Schizosaccharomyces pombe: one gene and its partner. Changing the gene in region 2 together with the main gene of any one other region gives a genetic interaction. Each region holds a gene or a part of one and is shown on either strand. Other genes may lie near its edges.

Region 1 (8,867 bases), on a different chromosome or scaffold from region 2:
TTATTAATGCCAGTAGCATTGAATTTTCGCATTAACGCATACACTTTGTAACCTATCGTTACACAAGTCAAAAGTATTAGTTTAGTTTTCAATTTAGGGATTTGCCTACGGCTAACAGCACGCAACTCGCATACCTATGTTGTTGAATGCCAAAACTACCAAAAAAACTAAGACGATAAATCAATAAATAGGCAGGCATAGTTTCTTTACTAATCCTAGTCCTCAAAAAATCTTCCTTGGTATGCCAGAACTTGTCCATCAGTCGCACACAATATCAATTTTAAACTGAAACAAAACATACAGGCAACAAATGTGTATTTCTAAAAATGAAGTTACCAAAATTACAATTAACTTAAAAAATACGATTTACACTTTTTACCACACATAGTGATATGAACATATCAAACTAAACATAATCTATTTCAAATAACCCCAACGGAATAGCTTAATGAATAAATTCTTTCGAGTGGAAAAATACTAATAAGTTTTATTTAAGGAAAAGAAGGGGTATTTTTTCGAAACCGGAACCGTCCCATCGGCCAGGAACCAATGTATTTTATCTGCAAGGGAGACGTAAAAAAGATATAAAAAATTGGTTTACAAATCAGCGTCATCCTCATCAGGTAAAGGCATAGCAGCAGCCTCGTTCATTTCCTGTTGGTATTGAGCTAACAATTGCTGATCGACTTGAACCTCAGGAGGAGCAAGGGCAGGCGAAGCAACAAACTCCAGGTTGGGGTTGCCAACCAGCTTACGGGCAAGCCATAAGAAAGGTTTTTCGAAGTTATAATTGGACTTGGCGGAGATGTCGTAGTATTGAAGGTTTTTCTTGCGATGGAAAGTGATAGCCTTAGCCTTGACTTTACGCTCTTTAACATCAACTTTGTTACCGCAAAGAACAATGGGAATGTTTTCACAAACACGGACAAGATCACCTGCATTCGATTAGTAATGTTCATTAAAGTAGTCAAAAAAAGCTAATGTCAATATACTTATAACCATTAAATCTAGCGGTCTATGAGTATCAAAAAAAACATTTAAAGCTTTTTTTTGCTTAAATATCACTTACGCCACCAATGGGGAACATTCTTATAGGTAATACGGGAAGTAACATCAAACATGATAATACCACATTGACCTTGAATATAGTAACCATCACGAAGGCCACCTAACTTTTCTTGACCAGCGGTATCCCAAACATTAAAGCAAATTTCACCAAAATTAGTATGAAAATGCAAAGGATGGACCTCAACACCCTAAAAATATGTTAGACTGTTGTTTCTAAACGAAAGATCTAAGCATAAAAAGAGTAACTGAAAACCGATGATGCACGAGTACAGATAACTGTATGTCTCATAAAAAGATGGCATTTATTTACGATACTAGGCATCGTTTCCGGTATACAAAAACTGTTCTAATAAAGTAAAATCATAAAACGTACCAAAGTTGCAATATACTTCTTTTCAAATTCACCAGTCAAATGACGCTTGACGAACGTGGTCTTACCGGTACCACCATCGCCGACAAGTACAAGCTTAAAGGTAGGAACGTTTTGTGGTTGAGCCATACTAAACTTTTCTCTGTTGCACCTAAACTAACTGAGAGTTTGGTTAAAGGAAAATTTTAGTGGTGCGTAATTTTTATATGAATAAAAGACCTGGGTATAACAAAACCCTAACCCTGATAGTCGATTGGAATTTAACAGAAAAGGGAGTGTATGGTATAGTTTTTTAATGCCGATTTAACGAATTGTTTAACGAGTTTGACTATTGCTCTTATTGAAGTTGATCGCCAAAAAATGGATATAGTGTCGTTTTTGAAATTTCAAAAAAGAATTGCTTCTACGAAAAGCTACATTTGTGCGTACTTGCTTATACATTCTGGGTTTATACACAACTTACAAGCAGCCAATGCTTACTTTTTGGACGTCACTACACGGTTTTGATTGCATGTAAAGATAAAAAACCGCAGCCAAGAAAACGTATTTGCTAATCCAAGGAATGCCAGGAATGCCCATACATAGAAAACAAACATTCTAAATTTTCATTAGCTATATTAGTATCACTAGTAAAAGGCCTACGAATTCTGCAATGATCCAGGTCCGCTACCAGCGTGGACTCAGCTGGATCGAAATGATCGAAATAAAGATTAAAAATAAAACAAACGAAAGTGGTAGGAAGTCGACAAACAAATGAAAATTATCAGTAAAAAAATGCTGAATTAATAGAATGATGCATTTGCTTTTAAAAATTTATGCAATAAAAGATAAAAGCAAATAATTCAACGTTAAATAAGCCATATGTGCATGATGAAGATACTATAGCTTCCGCTAGTAAATGTCGGTAAACCAGAATCGAAATGAGCGTATCAAATATGCCCGGTTAATTCTTAAATTGGTGTCAAATATGTCCGCAGTAAAAGCATCAACGAATTTAAAATTCAAACATATTAGCTATGTTTTCAATTTTGAAGGGATATTTAGTTTGAAAATAGATTAAGGAAAACCAGATACTAAGAACAGGGTCTGTTGCGCAGGTTTTAGAATTGGAATGTGTTGCACTTTGCTTTTGTGGATTTTGAGGAGTGTCGGTATTTATTTTTGCTTGCTTGATTTCTTATTCTTTTGTTTTGCATTCTTCTTTAATCCAATCGAAGAAGTGAGATTTGCTTCATTTTCATCATCAATTAATAGAGAAGGAGGCCTAGTACGAAGTTCTTTAGCTTTGCTAAGTGAAATGGTAGGCATTCTCGACGTTGTCAAAACAGGTACCGACATATCGCGTTCCACAGTAGCCTTGAGAAAAGCCGAAGACCAACGATGTAATTCTTCATTATTTTCACAAGTAAAATAATGAACCTTTGGTGGAGTGAACATAACTGCTGCTTTAGCGGCACCTGGAGCAGGTGGAATTAACTTGATAGCAGTTTTGCCTCCACTTAGAACAATGTCATCGGTTTTCGTAACACGATGAGAAGTCATATCAATTAGGCCTTTTTCTGAAGCATCATTTAATGAATGGTAATAAGAAAGCCTTGTTCCTTTTAATACAAAGTATCTAGACTTCCAAACACCGTAACGATCACTACGTTTCCGCATCCAACCATGACAGTCCGCCGTTTTAATTGCTTCTTTGGCAGGTATATTACTTAATCCTTCACTAATTCCAGTAGGTAAAACCTTTTGTCTCCCAAAAATATCACGTTTCGACTTTCGTTTACCTATTGGCTCTTTATTTAATGGTGATGAAGCAACAGAACGAAGGGTTGGACGAGTCTTTAACTCAGTGCCGACTGGAGGTGAAGCGGGTAAGGAAGCAGCCGGAGATGGAGCAACAAAAGTATTTCCTAATTTTGAGCCCTTCGTATCTTTGGGTTGAGGTTTTGAAAGAGGAGTGGCATAATTATTAACAGCGGATTTTTCGTTTATGGACACCCCTTTGCTTGTGACAGGCGATGATGCTTTTGCTGATGGGTCTGGCATTGATTCAGGTGACTTAGTAACAGAACTTGAACTCCCTTGTTCGAGATTGCTACTAGGGAGTCGAGAACTTATCGATGAAGGACTTTCACCATCAATAGTAGTAATCTTTGGAGGATCCAATTCTTCCAAAGCTTCGATAGATATAGCTGAAGCTGGTGCTTTTCCTTTCATAGCACTTGGAATAGGTCTAGGAGGTACGGAAGAAGATTCCGATGCACCGCCCGTAAATTTAGTAGGAACGTTAGAAGATGGTTGAGGAGCATACAAGTTGCCCTTAGATGAATGATAAGGTAAACCAGGAAATGAAGTTCCTTCCTTATCAACATCAATGCTACTGGTAGAAGGAGAAGAGATGGGCTCAGTAAGACGAGAAGGTAAACCGCTATTTTGAGAAATTGAGTCCGTAGGGGATGAACGTTTTAATATCGGTGATGTGGCCGAAGGTTCGTTAGAATCAAAACGAGATACATTTTCAGGGACCGCAGATTGCGTAGACTTAGAATTGCGCGAACTTGGTGTGGCTAAAGGAGGAATCACGTATTGGTTCCAATCGGTAGATGGAGATGAGTCCAAATCAGGTGAAACAATCATATTTGACAAAGAAGGCATCACACTAGTCGGACGATTAACATAATCGTTAAATCCCGGACGAGTTGGACTGGATTTTGATGGTGAACCGCCGGCTTCATCATTAGATTTTTTTGGAATAGAAGAGGAGGAATCAGAACTTTGGCTAACAGAAATAGGCTCAGCAAACTGCGGATATTCTTCATATAAAGATTGTTCGTATGAATCTTTTAATTGTTGGATCTTTCGTAAAACTTCAAAACGTTTTCCAAAAGAAGTAATGTTAAGTTCTTTCAAAACATTGGAATCTAAGCCTAATAAAATTTCACCGGTTATTTCATTCTCCGCAAAATTAGGAGCTACTGATCCAAGGCCGGCATTCATAAGCCATTCAACTACCTCTTCCGTAGACCAGTTAGGAACATTTTGAATTTTTTCGGAAACAGCAAGAGAGGATGCAGGTCGATTTTCAATATAGGGCAAAGGTGAACTGTCATTTGGAGTACGAGATGCTGAAGTTGACATATTCTGTAAAGCTGTTTCAATATCTGTAATAGTTTCTCTAACGGAATCCTCAGCTGACAAAACCTTTTTCAAGCTTGCTGAAGTAGCAGGAGCAGAAGTAGAAGCAGAAGCATTATTATAATCGGCATCAATAGTGTTGAAGTTTGATAGATCTGAGGAAGGTTGGTTATCCAACAAAGGGGAAGGGCCTTCTTGTTTAGAAGATGGAAACATTGAGTTAAAATTACTAGGGACCGAAGGTTTCGAAAGACTATCAAGGGGGCCGTTTAAGATTGATGAGTGACTTGAAGACAAGGAATTATTCGAATACAACTTTTCACTGTCCTTGTCCGATCGTGAAGAAGTTGACCGGCTGCTTGATAAAGAGGATCTTGTGACTTCCGCGGTAGAAATGGAGAAATCTTCTTTGCCTCTTCTTGAATCACTTGAGTCAGACCTCTCATCAGATATCAATTCTACGTGCGAAGCAGGAAAAATACCCCTATTTCCCTGTTCATCTTCTCCCTATTAAAACTTAGTTAGTATGATAAAAATATATCAAGGTTTCACAATCCTAAGGGCATGCAACTTTGACATATAGTGTTTGCATCTTTATGTGGATTGGAAAACTGTACAAAGCAGGCATCAAGAATCCTTCAAATTATAAAATATACCAGGAATAAAAATAATAGGATTTTGACTTCGAAGTTATATACTTACTTCCCACCAACCATCACCAAATTCTTCATCCATCTTTATCAACAGATACTTCCGACCTTCAACCAACGGAAGTTCATCACTACTCTTCCCCGGAAAGGAATGCAAAGCAATCACGAACCGCTGACTTGCCATAGTTGTGGTAAAAGCAGAAAAAACACAGCTATGTGGTTATGCGGTGTTGTAATCGAAGGCTTAAATCTTGATGGCTGGCAAAACAGTGTTTACCGTGTTTGGCTTAGCCCACTTTAACGATAATAATCTATGTGGGGAAAGACGACCTTCGTGGGGGCTTTGCTTTTTGAAATCTGCAAGTCTGTTATATTACATTAGGAGAGTGTTGCAGAATGTGTTTTGACCTAGTCATGGTTTAACCAGTACTTACGTGGGGGTAATAGTAGTATTAGGTGTTGAATAGGTGTTTTATTTATTTCTTCTAATATACATGTCGGTACGTTTGAAGGCAAAGGATAGAATGTCTCATCTTCGTATATTAACGAATAAATGAAGGACCAAAGAACTAAGAATTGTGATTATGCTTACGTTTCCATTGAAATACGCTTAGTATAACGATGAGGGTGACAATTGCATAGTTACTATAATACATGTATCTAATTTATTTATTCACGTGTGTAATGAGGTCGATTGACTTGATCTACCACAAAGGTATTATGGAAATGCGATCGAGTATTAACCAGGTAACTTATTATTTATACAAGGTCCGTCTACGGTTGAAGGTAATTATTGGATAACTTCGCTAATATTTCACAATACTAAAATAAAAAATGAGCTAAACTCGTATTTGACCATATTCCTGGGATATCAACAGTCCACTATATGATTTTGCTTAATAAGAATCATTAGCTATCTGAATGCATGATTATTTAACAGCATCCCTCGCAGACAGAATTCTATACCCTTTACGATCTAATAATTGCAAATATTTCATACATGTATGGGAATATTAGATGATTACCGTTAAAGTGATTTATTGCTAAAAATTGCAAATACAGTTTTCCCTTCAGAGGATAGTAAGAATGTGTATATAAAAATTTAGTAATAAACAGTAAGTTTACTTAACATTGCAAGTTATAGATAAAATAGCATCAACCACTTTATCAGAGTTCTTCTGGGAGCTTGTCTCGATACTTGCAAATGTGTCCTGGACTTGCTTTTTGCTCTCCGCTTCAGCCTGACTATATATACCAGAAGCCTGATATGTTAAAATTGATTGTCCAAACTCTTAAAAACTGTATTGAATAACTTTACCTGACTTTCTGACTTTTTGAATTCCTCTTCCTTCTTGGAAGCGTATTCATCAATTTCGCGTTTAGCCTCAAGACGTGCATCCTTCAATCTTTGAGTGCGATCTTTTTATCTTTTAGAAACGTTGCTCCGATTGATTAAACTTACGTTGGCGAGCCTTTTCGACTATATTTCTAGCAACTTTTTCAGCCTACATATCTCATTAGAAATAACGATCTTGGAATTACCTGAACTTACCTCTAAAAGTTGTTGGATACCAGAATTCGTTTGAGCACTCTAAAAAGAAGTCAGAAATTGCTCCTTATAATAAAAATACAAATTACCATTATGTCTGTAAATTTAATCGTACTTGAGGAAGGGTCTATGGTCGAAGAAGTAATACTGGTTTGATAAACTACTCGATCTCCGTAACGTACTCTATCTACTCTGCTATCCACTAATTCCGTATCTTCTTAAACTCGCTAACGATATGGTAAGATGCGATGTTTTGATTGAAATAATGTTTGCTCCTAAATTTGGATACTATATAATAAAATCAGATTCTTACTATCCTCGGTTATAATTGTTGGGCAACGCGCCGTTGTTTGCTCAGGTGAACTGGAACTTAATAAGTAAATTCGGTATTGTTTTACATTTTTAGGCATATGATCAAGAACTGTAAGTAAACAGATAGCAGAAACCATTTGAATCTTACAATATTACATGATAGTACGTTCGAGCAGCACTGAATTTAACAAGTGCATCTAATAATGCTGTTACGGCGTATACAGCATCCTTGCAAATATAAGCATTGCTAAACATAACTCATTTATGTTTTATAGACATTACTTTCAAAACATCAAATTTTTCTATTTATATGCTCTTTTTAACAACCACCATACCTAAATGAATTACTATTTTAAACTTAGTATATTTTCTAGGCAGCGTATTTTTTGCGAGATAAGCAGTTAAAATTTAAACTAATACTTTAATGTAAAGCAAAATTTGTGATTCATAGAGTACAATAAAGCACTTTGGTCTCACATTAATACAATGACATACACCGACCCCAGCTGTTTGAGTGCATATAAAGCATTAAAATATAGTGATAATAATTTAACTTACAAATTTTCCACTAGCAAGACATACCTACAAATACCGGGAAAAATATCCTCTAATATTCGTTTAAAGCTGTCTTTAACAGCATAACTTAGCGCGGTTTAAATCCCTTACTTTTCGTACTTGTCATAAACCAGGCAAAGCTTCTAAGTATTTCAAACTATCCATATCTCTTGAGAATAAACAGGTGTTTTTAGATGCTAAACTATTAAGACGAACACAAAACCTGTATCTGGAATAAAAAAATATATATTTAATATAAAAGATGGCTATAGCAAAAAACAGAAAGGAGTATGTACGTTAAGGAAAATTAACAAATATCAAAGAGGTAAACAATTAAACCCATCCAGGTAACTTCATAAAACGAAAATCAAAAATCACCACCGAAACGTTCCTAAATAAAATAAATAACTCAATTTGTGAAAGTGTGGGACATATTAAAAGATGGGAGTGAACACTTTTGAACTTTAATGCATGCAGGTAATATGGCTGTGATGTACACATTTAATCGTAATCTCGTTAAAAGGAAGAACTATATGAGATTATCCAAAGTGCAAAAAAATTTATGGCGAACGTATATGTTTACCGTATTTTGATAGCACCATATTCAGAAATTGCAGGCAACTTTGTTGATCATCTCTGTCAGGTTGAGATAGAATGCAGTCCTTTAGGAGATTTATTTCTTTATCTGCAACAGAAATGGAAATAGCTTCAAGACGATACTCAAGATTTACCCAAGCCTGCGAAATTTGCTCACATGTGCTTGGCAATAAACAGTATGCTTTCAATAATGACCGATAAGTGACATGAGTAGGCTTTAACCCGTACTTGTCTATCATATCAAATCCAGCAGAAAGCCATTTTACATCCTTTAAACGACTAGCAATAGAGAACAAGGTGTTGGCAGTACTAATGGATGGTTTGAACTCCTTTACATCTGACATCTTGTTGATAAACGTAGTGATAAAGTCGGTAGCCTTTTTAATATCCCGATCTCGTTCAAATTGCTTCATTGAAAGACTTAAAATAGCATTTGTCAAACGAGTGATATCTTTGGGTGACACTGAAAGATAATAATCGAAAATAGTTAGCAAAGGATCTAGAGAATGGTGTGCTTCAAAAAGTCTTTGAAGTAACCAAACGGTTGTATAGATCGTTGGTAGATTTCTTTCGTTAAGATTAGAATTTTTCAGATAAGCAGCAGCTTGATCGACGAGACCTTTGTTGACAAACA
Region 2 (7,192 bases):
GCCAAGGCCGCTACTAAATCCGAAGCTGAAAAGCAAAAGCCTTCAGGAAAATTTGAGGAAGGCACCGGTGGTCGTGCTCCTCCTCCTCCTCCTGCTGAGGAAGTAGCTCCTGAAAACGAAGAAGTTGAAACTATGGAAATTGACGAGCAAAAGGAGTAAAAATGGAAGAATATTATTCTTTAGGTTTAGTGTAGTGTTTAATATTTCCCTATTTTATGCGAGAATTTCATTTACGCGGTATGTTTAAACTTCGTAAAATCGAATCTCAACTGGGTTTCGGTAGGATACATTTCAATTTAGATATCTTTCTTATCAGAATTACTGGAAGTAAGTTAAAATATAGTCATTGTTAATAAAACAAACTATTGCAGAAGCTTTAAAATAATCACATGTATTTAAGCAATACTGTAGATCCATTTTTTCTCCTTTAATGCTCTAGCGACAAGAGCAAATGAGTCAACATAATCGTATCACCTAAAAATGATTAAATTATCGATTTATTTTCTAACAAATGAAATAATATTATTTGCGAATTACCTGGCTACACTAATATTAGAGCTAAAATCAAAGTCGGACCATACCGAATTCTGCGAGTAATGGCAGAAGAATACAATAATGTAGCAAAAGTATAGCAAAATCGTCGTTTATTTAACGGAAAAAGGAAATATGCCTAGCCAGAAAACACAGATATGTAAAGCCCAAGAAGTGTGTGATTGACAGAATGAATGAAGAAGCACAAAAGCTAGGATGAAAACAACAAATAGCAAATATCTTTGCAAATATGAGGGATCGTTAAAGAAAGCTAAGACATTGTTTACTGTTGTAAACTAGCTGTATTAAGGAAATTTCGGAAAAGGAAAGAAAACCAGGGGTTAAATTACAGTACCAAACACTTTGACTTTTTCTTGTGAGGAACAGGAGGATCAAGAGCGGCTACAATAGCTTCATCAAAAACATTCTTTAACCCTTTTTGGGTCAAAGCGGAACACTCAACATACTTGACAGCACCCAACTCACGAGCTAATCGTTCACCTTGCTCATGTGTAAGGGGATGCTGATGCTGGCGAGCTAGTTTCTGTTGCACAGAAGGGTCATCACGTAAATCAATTTGGGTACCAACAATTAAGCACGGGACGCCCGGACAATGATGATGAACTTCGGGAAACCACTTTTCTTTCACATTTTCAAAACTGGCAGGAGAAGTTACACTAAAACAAACCAAAAAGACGTCTGTTTGAGGATAGGATAAAGGACGCAAGCGATCATAATCCTCCTGACCAGCGGTATCGAATAAACCAAGAGTGTATGGTTCATCACCGATCATGACAGTGACAGCATACTATTTTAGTCAGTAAATCTTTACTATAAAATGAAAATCAGCTATATCAATTAAAAACGGGAGTAAAAGCAACAAGAAAGTTAGAATAGTCCCCAATATAGCAAATAGCAGAAATAATAACGACCAAATCTTCCTGGGAAAGAAAGTGGTCGCCTCATCTTATTCCTTACGAGATAAGGCTTCCTACGGTCTTTAGATCTAGTGTGGAAAAAAAAAAGCATCGGATAAAAAAAAATTATTAAACTTTCAATAGTTTCTGAGATAAAATCGATAAATACATTGAGTCATTGTTTAATCCTTCAGCCTTTTTTTGACAAAAAGCCTTATATCAAAATTTTCCGTGACCGAACATTTGAATAGTAAAAAATTTCTAATATGGGGACAAAACTTCACCAAGTACTTCATTCCATAAACAACTAATTATACTTACATTATCGAATACAGTTGGCACATAGTCACTAGGAAACTTGTTTGTAGTATAGGAAATAAGCAGACAGGTCTACATTCAAACGGTCAGTATGTGTAAAACTCAAAAGAACAATTTTTGGAAAGAAAGAAATAAAGGGGAATGTATAGACAAAAGAAACTTCATTTTAGATGATAGCAATTCTTGTATTTTTTTATGCATTGCTTAACTTCACCTTCCGTAAACATCAACTCACCTTTCCTACAGCACCGTCTCCTACTACGACACACTTAATGGTGGGCATACTATTTCACAAAAAATAATTAATCGTAAAGCTTTGCTTCACTTTATTGAATTCCTAGAAAGTTCAAACCCCTAAGTATCAAACACCGGTGTTGGTTGTAGGTAAATATATTGTGCGGTCACCGTAATTAGTTCGCCCAGCCATGCTTTATTAAGATATACTACAGCGGCTAATCCAATCTCACTATTAGATTTTACGAATTGTAAAGCGTAAAAAAACTCAAAAATGCAACTTTTATTATTATATTACTAGGAATGAAAAAAATTAATAGATGCAGAAGTTATGGAGGCATGTATGTGATGGAGTCATCTTTCAAAAGTTTAGGCAATTAGCAAGCATAGATTGTTTAACAAAAAAGATAGCAATTTATCTAATTAACATTGAAAATTCATTGGTAATATTGGGTAAGTGTTCTAGTATCGGTATTTCGCATCCAAATAAGCCTTTTTTATAAATCCTCTATTTCATCAAAATCTTCTTCGCTAATTTCCTCCTCTTCTTCGCTTATCTCCTCACTTGAAGACGGTGCTTCCGAATAATTTATACGAATCCCTTGAAATCTTGAGCTACTTCGTTCTGGCACGTTCCTAATATTAGGATTCTGCTCATTTAGCTTTCTCCTTTTTTCGTTTTTCCTTCTTCTAGACGATTTTTTATCGCTCTTTGAGCTATGAGTCTTCTTTTGCTTCAAATTTGCGTGCTTATTGGTAGTCTGTTTCGCAAAAGATGAGACTGGTGTCCTTATAGCATGTTCAATCTGACTTTCCATTTTAGGCGTTATGAAGATTTTATTGAAAATTCTCTTTTTCTCATCTATAGAGGGAATTGGTCTTAAAATTTCGTAAGGTAATTTAATTTGCTTTGGATACGTAGTCAAACTCCATCCAAAGTTCTGGGATTTCACCTGCAATATTTTCTGAGCCATGTCGCTTAGCACATAAATGTAATTGTTTCCATCTTCAATAACATCATAGCTTTGTTTTATGCGTTGCATTAGATGAAAAACGATTGGGACGTTCTCACTATTAACAACAGTGTCAACGTAAAAGCGAATGTATGCAATAAAATCAAGCGAGTTCTCTGATTCTATCGAAGATATGTCTGGATGGTGAGAGAGAAGATGGATAAGATATGTTGCTACATATTCCATGGTAAAATCATGGGTTTTCTGGAAAAAAGCAACCTGAGAACGTATCCATATAGACGCTTTAGTCTTGATCTCCTCTTCCGGATCAACAGCAGTCAGGAACAATAAAGGATAATAACTAATTGGCAACTTTTTAAGTTGCAGCTGCTTCTGAAGCTTCGTCAAAAATAAATTTCTCACGTCAAAATTTTCATCTTGGCATAATAAGGAGATTTGAACGTAAGAACTAAAATCTATATGTTCCGCATAAAAAGGAATGGAACATAACTTTAAAAAATATTTGCTAGCAGTGAGACGTAAATAAGCACGAGAAATTTTGGGAGTATTCTTGAACGGACTTAATTCACCGTCAGCCATTAACAATACTTTCAATAGCTTAATGATAGGAGCTCCAATATTTAACGCTTCGGTTCCTCCTGCCGCCGCCCTCAGTCGATTAACCAAAACCCTAATTGCTAAAACTTTGCACATGGTAAGATTATCTAATTTTTCGTAAGTACACCATTCCTCATCATTATGCGTATCATCATATTTTTCAGGAAAGCGCTGTATAACTTTTTTTACTAAAAATTCTGTAACTTGGTCAGCAACCTTCTCTACCTCTTCTAAAGTGTATAGAAATAGTTGTCCTAAAGTCATAAGCCGTACAGGAAGTCCTCCATTATACTCCAAATTTTCCACGATATTCGTTATCATATCGAGTTTGAATTCTTTCGTCTCCGTTATAGCGATAATCGTCGCTGCCTGTTTGGCTTGTTCCTGTGTTCCATGTAGACACAACTTTCGTAGTATTTCAGCAGTTGTTGTTTGTATAGAAAAATTTTTTTTTCTTTTGGAGAATTGGGAAAGAGCTTTAATTACTTTAGGATCCGATTCAATGCCCGAAGAAACTATAATATTTTCAACTTCTATAACAACCTCTCCATATATGTTGGGATGAATTAGCGGTAAATGCTGTAAAAGAGCCTCCGACGGCTTAAGGAAATTGTGGTATTTTACAGGTTCATTTAATAATTGAATTATTTCATGCACGTTGCTTTTATTAAAAGCAAACAGAGCTGAACGGTAAACGAATATTCTAAAACATTCAAGACTTGCGGTACTCAACGTTTCAGAAACCCTTTTAAATAAATATTTTATGCTTTTTAAAACAACTTGATATTCACTTTTAATGGAAAACGTTTGTAAAAGCATTTTGTAGCTTTGACGATCATTAAGTTCCGCAAATTTTCTGAAAGTGGCTTCTGTTAATGTAGGATTAGAACTTTTTGATGATATGATATCAATCACCTTCTTAAGCTTGTTGGTAATTGACTCTTCATCATTATCCATAACACCTCCATTGTAATTTTTGCAGCACTCAATGTAGTAATTTAAGAGTTCCGAATACTTAACTTGTCTTTGTAAAAGTAGAATAAAAACTCGCATCGCTTTTTCACTAAAATACTTTATTGAAAGGAAAAGCCTGTTTAACCTTGTTTGCGTATCAGAACTAAGGTATTGTAGGACCAGTTCAGCCATACAAATTTCAACAGCCGCATTAGTTGTTTCATCATTAACATAAAATACTTCCAAAAGAGATGAAGGGATCCAGCTGAACATCTGTATTGAGTATTCCACACCATCTATAAGGTCTTGATATGCTCTATTATAAATTTGACTTAGTGTCCGAATTGCTTGTAAACGAACATTGAGTTTACGATCACGTAAACGGTCACCCATGAGTTTCAAAGCCTGTACTGAAAATTGCATTTTAAAGGTTTCGAAAGTCAACTGTTCGATCGTTTTAAGAGTAGCAACCCGCACCTTTTCATCCGTGTCGGCCAACTTTGATTGAAGCATTTGAACTACGTTTTCAATTATCTCAGAAGTAGCCAATGAATTCTGAAGAGCGTTGGAAGCAACTTCAATGCATTTGATACGACATGCAACTGATTTATCATTGAGCCGACCACAAAATGCACTCCATACCCTAGGATAATCGGACCATATGGCGTTGTCTTGGAGCATCAAACCAACAGTTTCTATCGCCACAAGTCGCACACTAGTTTGTTCAGCTTGCAATTCATTTTCGAATTGTGGAATAATGTTCAATAACGTGGTTGGTGCATATTTCCATAATTGTAAAACTAAATTGTGCGAGAATATAAATTCTGGAGTAGTCATGGAGTCAGAAAGCGAATCTCTTGAATCGAATATAATATCTGAGAAATACTGGCAAACATATCTTTGTAGTCGATCTGCTGAGTCATGAAAAATATTTCTCGCTAGTTGAAAAGCTGGACCGTGATTAGTAGAATCGGAAGAGCCAATTGTTTGCCTTACGCCCTTTCCTGATATTAGTTGAGCAAATAGTATGTTCAAGGCAGCAGCAGGAATGGTGTTAATCTCATTGATCAACTGGTTAATAATATCAAGCATGTAAAACTCGACATTCTTGGTAGTACCCTTTCTCGCTAAATCAAAGAAGAGACGAAAGATATTTACTAAGAATTCTTCAGCATTCGGGAGATCAACTATTAGAACTGCAGATTTAACGTTCGACAAACTCTCTAATATCTCGTAAATTTGTGGATAATAAGTAGATTCTTGATTCATAAGACCACTAAGAATTTTGAGAATTACTTGGAAAATATCTTCCAATTGTGATAAAGTGAAGGGCGCATCGGGGGCACATAAACGAAGCAATTCAACAATACAACAAAGTGTATAAGAGCGTATCCCTTTATCTTTGTGATGGAGCAAATTGTTATTTACTAATGATCGTGCTACTGGCAATACTGAGTCACGGTCGATAGTATCTTGGGATAGGCTAGTAAGCTCTCCTAGTAAATCACGTAGTCGTTTTAAAATCTCGGAAGTCGTTAACGGATTGTCATGTGTTGGGACAATGTTTCTTTGAAACTGTAACTTTATCATCGCAAAAGTTGGCTTTTGCACGCTTTTGTACTATTCACCTTGGGTATTTAACAAATAAATGACAAATGCAGTAAACTTTCAATGCTCTATATCCATAAGAGCCATAGGCTGATTTTATTAATTAGTACTTCGCAATATTGAAGCTTGAAAGATGCGATTTCAAAATGTGGTGCTCAACTCTTTATTACGTTCGTGTTAGACTCGCAATGTACTTGCTTAAAGAAGAGACGCGTAAAAGAACGCGTTCCATTTATTGTAATTAAAATATTACACTATTTACTAATAAGTATAACTCAAGGGTAATGATAAAATATTATTAACGAGTGAATTAGATATAAGGACATATGAGTGAAAGAAATTTAATAGTTTAAAAGTAGTTTAAAGAACGAAAGGTGCTTGTACCAAAAAATTAAAAATTAAAATAAAAAGTTAGAATAAAGATGAAAAGCGGAAACTGTAAAGTACAAGGCAAGTAATATACACGCTGATAAACGATAAAAATCAGCTAAAGCGTCTTTTTTTAGGAAACCCATTGTTCAACATTGTCAAACAATCAATTCAAGCTTTAATAATTGATAACCATATAAACCGCTTTTCTTAAGAAAAAGTCGAAGAGCCATCTTTTTAAAAAACTAATATAGGAAACAGGCAGTTTGATAATTATCATGCATTGTTGAGATATACAATATCGTAACGCAAACATTAAAAAACGGTAGCGTGTCTCATGTGCTGCTTCTTCTGCCCATACGCGTTTTCTTCTTTGAAACAACCTCCAAAAGTTAAAGGCGAAACTGCTTGAAGAATTAAAAATGAGTTTTCCGTATTGAAGGAGCTGGATACAGCCTTCTGTTTGGATTTCAATTTATTAAACAAGAATGGTATACGTGAACCCCAAAAAGATTTATCCGTCTTTCCTGCTAATAAAGCTCTTAAAGAATCTGAAGCACAATTTAATACACGTTTAGGAGCAACCATAAGGTTAATCTTGCTTTCTACTGGTGACAATGGGGCTTTCTGAGAAGTGGGCCTCTCAAACATGCTAAATGCACGCTTGTGTTGTTTCTTAGTTGGCTTATT

The links.
Region 1: of cdc42 (region 2) and pob1, extra expression of one rescues a mutant of the other (dosage rescue), as found in Schizosaccharomyces pombe (3 studies listed by BioGRID, with this or other methods).

Annotation. Positions count from the first base shown.
Region 1 is NC_003423.3:4,385,750-4,394,616, forward strand, and holds pob1 (Boi family protein), read right to left. Parts: upstream 5,414-8,867; 5' UTR 5,405-5,413; coding exon 5,273-5,404; intron 5,078-5,272; coding exon 2,594-5,077; 3' UTR 2,047-2,593; downstream 1-2,046. Other genes in the region: Ran GTPase Spi1, read right to left, coding at 598-935, 1,070-1,256, 1,442-1,567; vma10 (V-type ATPase V1 domain subunit G), read right to left, coding at 6,342-6,482, 6,539-6,639, 6,683-6,725, 6,773-6,811, 6,859-6,861; PPR repeat-containing protein Ppr8, read right to left, coding at 8,197-8,867. UniProt on the Schizosaccharomyces pombe protein: Has a role in cell elongation and separation.
Region 2 is NC_003424.3:1,910,965-1,918,156, reverse strand, and holds cdc42 (Rho family GTPase Cdc42), read right to left. Parts: upstream 2,149-7,192; 5' UTR 2,050-2,148; coding exon 2,002-2,049; exon of another isoform or gene 1,839-2,001; coding exon 1,770-1,838; intron 1,340-1,769; coding exon 878-1,339; 3' UTR 501-877; downstream 1-500. Other genes in the region: heat shock protein Pss1, read left to right, coding at 1-159; mitotic and meiotic cohesin loader subunit Pds5, read right to left, coding at 2,498-6,115; serine/threonine protein kinase Ppk1, read right to left, coding at 6,818-7,192. UniProt on the Schizosaccharomyces pombe protein: Involved in development of cell polarity during the cell division cycle.